2 linked regions of the Caenorhabditis elegans genome follow. The protein of the gene in region 1 purifies or fractionates together with the protein of each later gene. This does not show direct contact. Each region holds a gene or a part of one and is shown in the gene's direction. Other genes may lie near its edges.

Region 1 (3,753 bases):
AATAGAAAAAAATCTACAGTATGTCTGTAAACATTATTTCAATATTCAGTCAATTCTGGAATAAACAAATTTGCTCTGCTTCTGGAAATGTTTATACAAAGAAAAAGCGTTATTGTCGGCATACAATACGGAATATAAAGGAAAACGGAAAAAGAAAACCGAAGTGCTAAATCGATAGTGATCACATAGGCGGTTTCAGAATAATCCACGTTTTCGTGCAGCAAGTCGTCCATTGTTCTCGAATTTGAACCTTCCTAAATCAGTCCGTGTTCTAATTTCCCGTACCTGGCCACATATGAACACAAATTATATTGGTAGAACATATGGAAACAAGGTACACGTGTAGTTATTGTCCGATAAAATGATAGTTTTATGACTCATAGGAAATTTGAATCTAGGAAGATTCCACGCAAAACTGTTGGTCAGATGCAATTTTTCACGATTTTTCGAAAAGATGTGCGCCTTTATGGAGTACAGTAATCCATTTCGCAATTTTCTTTGAGTTTTTCACTATATTTCTCTCGTTCACAAAGATTTTGATGGATTATATTAAATTTCTCGTTTTTGGGAGAAAAAAGTAAAAATCAAAGGCAATTTCAAAAAAAAAACCGGAAAATGGTTACTGTGCTTCTTAAAGGCGCACACCTTTCCGTCAATTTAAAATATTATGTTCGTGGCGAGATACGGGGCATACCGTATTTCTGCGTGGGAAATTGCAAAATTTTGTCAAAAAAAAATTTCTTCCAAAATAAGTTGAAAACTCTCACTGGACCGGACGTACAAAACTACATGTTTCTCCCAAAACATTGTTAATGTTGTTTCTCATACTCGAGGTTACCTAGGTATTCAAAACATTTGTACTGAAGAAAAAACATTCAGCATTCGGAAGATAAACTATAAGGTCATGTGAGAAAAGAGAAAAAGTATTGGGGATTCTGAATGTTTCCATAAAATGGGTTTTGTACAGCACAAGGAGTTAGGATTAATTTTACAACTTTAATTGAATTTTTAAGCAGTTGTGGATATTTTCAAATTCTTAAGTTTTCTGATTTATACCTTTTACTTATACGGAACTTGCTAGAATTAGCCAGGTGGCTGAAAATTTTGGTACCACCTTATAAGGTCCTAATGCCTAAAAGATAAATGAAGAGTTGCTGAGAGTAATTGGTGTATCAAATTGGGCTATAGAACATATGTTTATTAAAAATTGAACGGTACGGTATTGAATTTTGAAGATAATTTTTTTTCTGAATTTAATATTTTCTTAACATCTTAAATTCGATTTATCAAATTGACATTTTGAATATTCTGAAAGTTAAATATTTAATGGCTATGAGAAAATTATTATTAATTAGTAGATAGAATACGATTGCGTACCGGAAGGACCTTAGCACAAGTGACGTGGTTATCTAACTGGCTAGTTAGATAACCACGTCACTTGCCTAGGTTCCCATGACTTGGAAAGTTCATGACCGGATAAATTTCAGACAGGAAGACGTGCATGTTATTCTAATTAGTCACTGCTGTCAATTATATGATTCAGGTGTTCAAGTATAATGGTGTGAGAAAATATTGCATGTACTTGTAATCAATGCAAGTACATATTATGTTGTACTTGTATAAATTAGAACGAATTCATAGGGAACATAGAGGTGGAATACAGCATTTAATTGTATATTGTATATTTTGCTGACAACTTATGGAACGGCTTTAGAAGGATATCTGCTGTGCATATATCAAAATTCTAATGAAATGACAAAAACTCTAATTTGAACGCCCGCGTTTTGTCGGGTACGAGACTCCGATATCCCGCGTGCGCCCAGTTTAGTCAAGTTTTTGCTCGGTGTTTTTTTCTTATCATCAACTTTGCAAATAAGTTTTTCCCCTTTATTTTTTACGATTTCAACGATTTTTAGTTCGAAAAATGTGCGAAAATTATTATTGCAATCTTAATAATCTTCTTACTTGCCGAATTCGTCAGAATTTGCCCATTGAACGCTGATTTTTCGAGTTGGACAGTCTTTTATTCCAAATCGATGTTTTTCATAGCTTTTAATTGCAGTAATGTTCCGTCACGTGGCTCAAAATTTGGGCTCAAGAAACACATCCATTCAGTCATGTGAGTTTGAGCAATTATTAGTTTTGATATTCAATATCTGTTTTCCAGACCGGTTGCTGCGTACTCGATGGGAGCGAGGATACCTGAAGGACCTTTACCATCGCCGACAGATTCTTGGAGCTGATCCAGCAATTTCCCGATCTTCATACCCAAACTGGTAAGTTTTTTCTCAGAAAAATGTCATACAAAAGCCGTTTCCCATTTCCCACTGTATTGACTCACTGTGCTGCTAATTGCAATTGAAAATCGCTTGAAACTCAAGCGGTTTAAGTATTTTCTTAACCCATCTCAGTTCTGTGCAAGTACGTAATCATCATTGCTCTGCTGACAAGTCAACTCTTCAATGGGCTCCTATCAAGACTTCCATCGACAACTCTTCGGACGATTTTGCTGCTAACACTGCTGAAATGAAGGTTCTCGTGGAAGATTTGAAAGCAAAAATATCTAAAATCGAGCAAGCTGGAGGAGAAAAAGCCGTGAAATTACACCGCAGTCGTGGAAAAATGCTTGCAAGAGAAAGAATTGACGGCATTGTCGATGCTGGATCACCATTCATAGAGTTTAGTCAACTTGCTGGATACGAGGTAAACGATATTCGTATCCGATTTGAAATTGACTGTTTCTTTTCAGATGTATGGAAAAGAGGAAGTCCCATCTGGTGGAATTCTCACTGGAGTTGGAATAGTTTCTGGTCGTGTTTGTGTCATTGTAGCGAACGATGCGACTGTCAAGGGAGGAACATACTATCCTATCACCGTAAAAAAGCATCTTCGTGCACAAGAAATCGCCCGCGAAAACAAATTGCCTTGTATCTATCTCGTAGATTCTGGTGGCGCAAATCTTCCACGCCAAGCAGATATCTTTGCCGACAGCCAGCATTTCGGAAGAATTTTTTACAACCAAGCAACAATGAGCAGCGAAGGAATTCCACAATTGGCTGTAGTTATGGGAAGTTGTACAGCAGGAGGAGCTTACGTTCCAGCTATGTCTGATCAAGCCATTATTGTCAAAGGAACCGGAACTGTTTTCCTTGGAGGACCACCACTTGTGAAAGCTGCAACTGGAGAAGAGATCTCTGCCGAGGAACTTGGTGGAGCTGATCTTCACTGTGGAGAATCGGGTGTTACTGATTATTATGCCCATAATGATAAACATGCTTTGTACTTGGCAAGAAGTTGTATCGCGGGACTACCACCAGTCGAGGAGCATATGACCTTCAATCCAAACGGTATTACAATAGTAAAATATTCATGTTTCTAATTCTCATTCTTCAAAATTTTCAGCTGATGAGCCTTTGTATCCAGCTGAGGAAATTTACGGAATCGTGGGATCTAATCTCAAAAAGACATACGACGTCCGCGAGGTTATCGCTAGAATTGTCGATGGCTCTCGATTCCACGAATTCAAGGAGAGATATGGAGAGACGCTTGTGACCGGATTTGCTACTATTTATGGGCAGCGTGTAGGAATTCTAGCTAATAATGGTGTTCTGTTTGCTGAAAGTGCCATGAAAGGTTCTCATTTTATTGAGCTGTGTTGTCAACGGAAGATTCCTCTTCTTTTCCTTCAAAATATCACTGGATTCATGGTATGATTCGACAATTTTTCAATATTCACAGAGTTTAATCTAATTT
Region 2 (3,753 bases), on another chromosome or scaffold:
GTATGATCTTCGAAGATATTCCTTCGTTGCTCCTCGACCTTCTTCATCCAACGATTCTGTTCGGCCTCGACGCGTCCGAGAACATCTGAAGAAAATACTTTTTTAGTAAAAACTATAAAATCTTCAAATGGAGCACTTACTACTTCTCGCACGTGTGGTTCCTTGTGTATCCATTGAATTACTTGCTGAAGATGATTCATCGTCAGTTGATGGAGCAGCAGCAAAGATATTATCCTCCATTTCATCATTATGTTGTTGATAACTGATCGATAATCGTTTCTTCCGGAGCATTGGATCCAGGCACATAAGGAATACCATGTATCCCGTTAAAACAGCGATCACACAGATTACAAATATTACAACTACTTTTAAGAGCACAGTGTTTCGTGACTCATAACGGCAGTCGCAATTTGCAAGAAATGCATCCATATGGGTCTCGTCAACGAAGTTACTGACTTGATCTTTCACAATGTTGCTTGGCTTGCTGAAATGTTTGAAAAATTATATTTCTTTGTCGAATTTAAGGTTTATTTGTGTAAATGATGAATTTGAGCTGTTGAAAAAAATTAAAAAAATAAGTGTTGAAAATGTTTTAAAACTGATCAACATGTTTTTTTGATGAAATGGAAGGAAAATAAAGACTTAGAAATTCGAGATTTCATGGTTATGATTTATTTTTATTCGAATTTTTACAACGATGTAGATTCTCAGCAATAGAAAATAAAAATAATTGTTTTTCTAAATCATATTTGTGGTTTTCTGAAAGAGAAAAAATTAAAACTGTGACTAAAGTTCCCACAAAAATTTCTCAAATTTTAACGTTTATAAAACAGTCGGAAACGTTCAAATTTCGATGAAAAAAAGAAATTCAAATTTGCAATTGCTTTGAGCGAAATAATACCATAAAGGTGGGAGAATTTCATAACTCTGCCAAGTTATTTTTGATGTGGATTTTTAGCAAAAAATATCAGAGTGACTAGGAGATATTTACATATTCGGATTTGATATTTTATATTTTCTATTAAAACAATTCAGATTTAAAATTAAAAAAACTCACCAATGGCTCGGTTCGATGTTAGTTTTTGTATAAAATCGTCTCCTCAATCCTTCTGTTTTTTCAGTTGTATTTTCAGCCAAGTCGAGAAATTTTAAAAGACTCGGACAAATGCATCGACATCGTGTATCTTCGAAGTTAGCCTGAAAATATTTATTAAATTATATCTTTATAAAAGTAGTTATGAAACAAACCTCAGTCCCTGCTTGGGATAATGCGGGAAGAAACAGTAAAGCAATAAATAAATATATCATTAAATCTGAAAAAATTACGGAAGTTGGACTGTATTTTTTTTTATTTTTGCAAGAAAATAAAAAATGCTCTGAAAAATAGAATACAAGTAAAACAAGAAGTGCGCCAGTGCAACTTACTGGCGCTTTTCGCGATGGCTGACGCATTCTTCGTTTCACTTTTATGATGTTCACAACGAAAATCGAAGAAATAAAAACTTGCACTTATTTTTGTCTTAAATTTCAATTTTTCTTCTGCTTGTTGAGTAATTTTTCAGTTCTCAGTCTAAATTACTTGCTAATTATCTTCATTTCAGTCTGCATGAATACTAATAATCGATTTTTCGCATTTTTTTTGCAATTTCTATCCGGTATTTGTCTTTTTTAATTCATTCGTTACTATTTTCAGTCATGTCAAAAGGTTTTGCTTTCAAACCGTCTGCTTTAGCTGCCAAGGCAGATAAACTGTGGTCAGATAGTAAGTTTTCAATTTTGTGTTATGTTATCTAAGTCACGTGAATTTGCAGGCAAAACAGAATACACAGCAACTCATTCAACAATCAACCACGTTCATTTGGAAAAGAAATCGCTGGGCGATATTATTCCGAAATCAGCAGATGCGCCTGTTGCAAATGAAAAAGTTCGTTGAAACACAATGAGTCAAAAAATTCGTTTTCTTCTAATTATAGGAAGTCGAAGAGGCTCCACAAGCATTTGTTTTTGGCTCCAAAATATCAGATCGTGTTGTGAACAAAGAAGGTGATTCAACAAAGCCGGGTGGTTCAGACGAAAAGACCATGACAGCAACTGAGCTCTTCCAAAATGCAGTTAAAAAAGATGACGATGTAATCTATATTTCGAATCAATATTTCTATTCATAATGTTAATTTCAGAAAAATGGAGCCAAAAACTTCAGAAAGGAAGCTGAACAAGAAGCGGAGAGAGCAAAGGAAGCCGAAAAGCAGCATGCCGGAACGAGTTCAGTCGAAATCACCACCGGGGAAGAGAACGATACTAATATTTTCCAAGTGAGGCAGTATTCATTAAAACATAATTTTTATTTATTTGTCTTTAGGCTCCTTGCAAAATTTGGGCGTTTGATAAATTGAAAAATGCCTACTCTGAAAAGGGTGTCTGCAATCTCAGGATCAACAAACGAGTCGAGAACGGACTGACGCACCACCGAATTGGTAAATACTGATAGTTAGAGTTTATTGTATTCAAAATTATTTTCAGTGGCAAGAACATCTTCCGGTACTCTTCGTGTCATCATAAATTCCAAAATTTTCTCTGATATGCTTTTGGAGCGGGTCGACAAGAGAATTCGAGTGAGCTTTAATGTTATATGAATATATGTTTTATTGTTACTGTTTACAGATTTCCGCAATGGGACCAGAGATCAGCGGTGTTCAGATTTTCCTTCTAAAAATCGGATTCACCAAAACTGAGACGATCCCCGATTCGGATATATTCTACAATATTATGAGCGACCTGCTGAAATTGGAGAAGGGAGAGAATAGTCGGAAGAGGAAAGCGGATTGTGATCTGAACGCTTCAACTGTTAAAATCAAGGATGGAAAGGAAGAAGAAGAAGGTGATCAAGATCAAGTTGATGAAGGATTTGTCATTGTAAACAAGCCAACAGAAGATGAGGTGAAAGAAGAAAAACCAGCTGTTACAGCTGCCGAAGAATCTGCATCCAGCTCAACTCCTTCCGAATAACCATATCAGTCATTGCTTCTTTCAACTTCCCCTGTGCTCTTTTTTCTCCTTCCAATCCCCACAAAAATGGTCTCCAACTTTCACCCAACTCAAATCATTTCCCCTTAAGTCTAATTTCTTTATTGCTAAAAATTTCTTCTAGATTTCTACCAATCTGGCCTAACTTTCCAATTTCGTTTTATTCTTATATATCCCGTTTTATGTGTTTGTCGAATATATTTGGTTTGTGAAAAAGAGAAGAGTTTGCAATAAAAAGCAGAAATACAATCAAGAAGACACTTAGACAATGGCGTTTCGGTTATCAGTGGCGCTCTTACTGAAGGAGGAGGAGAGCGAGATAACGATCGTTGTGGGGTGATCGATTCAGAATTCAATTGGCAACACCATGATCATTTATCACCTTGTCAATTCTGTAGCATTGTTTCAGTAGGAGAAGATTTTTTTGTAGTTAAATATCAATTTTGAGTATAACAAACGCGATTTTTGCACCTAAAATACGGTAGCCGGTCTCGTCACGACAATTTTTAATACTTAAAAAAAAATTGTATCAATTTATTTATAAACTCTAAAATAACACCGAAACACTTCAATTTTTATAAATCTAGAGGAAAAATCGATTCCGCATCAATGAGAGTTTGAAGTTACAGTACTCCTTAAAGGTGCACACACCTTCTTGCATTTAATAAAAAGTTGTCGCGTTGAGACCCGGTACCGGTTTTTTGGCGTCTTTGTAATAAACCCCTTTGA

What was found.
Region 2: the proteins of mrpl-44 (region 1) and ran-5 fractionate together in Caenorhabditis elegans (co-fractionation; one large-scale study listed by BioGRID). This does not show direct contact.

Annotation. Positions count from the first base shown.
Region 1 is NC_003281.10:9,087,685-9,091,437, reverse strand, and holds the start of mrpl-44 (Large ribosomal subunit protein mL44), read left to right. Parts: upstream 1-2,062; 5' UTR 2,063-2,064; coding exon 2,065-2,119; intron 2,120-2,167; coding exon 2,168-2,276; intron 2,277-2,411; coding exon of another isoform or gene 2,412-2,703; intron 2,704-2,749; coding exon of another isoform or gene 2,750-3,347; intron 3,348-3,402; coding exon of another isoform or gene 3,403-3,707; intron 3,708-3,753. Other genes in the region: mccc-2 (putative methylcrotonoyl-CoA carboxylase beta chain, mitochondrial), read left to right, coding at 2,065-2,119, 2,168-2,276, 2,412-2,703, 2,750-3,347, 3,403-3,707. UniProt on the Caenorhabditis elegans protein: Component of the mitochondrial ribosome. May have a function in the assembly/stability of nascent mitochondrial polypeptides exiting the ribosome.
Region 2 is NC_003280.10:6,046,416-6,050,168, forward strand, and holds ran-5 (RanBD1 domain-containing protein), read left to right. Parts: upstream 1-1,693; 5' UTR 1,694-1,695; coding exon 1,696-1,762; intron 1,763-1,811; coding exon 1,812-1,924; intron 1,925-1,973; coding exon 1,974-2,129; intron 2,130-2,177; coding exon 2,178-2,312; intron 2,313-2,359; coding exon 2,360-2,474; intron 2,475-2,520; coding exon 2,521-2,612; intron 2,613-2,661; coding exon 2,662-3,006; 3' UTR 3,007-3,271; downstream 3,272-3,753. Other genes in the region: R12C12.6 (Transmembrane protein 9), read right to left, coding at 1-85, 141-484, 1,058-1,197, 1,249-1,452.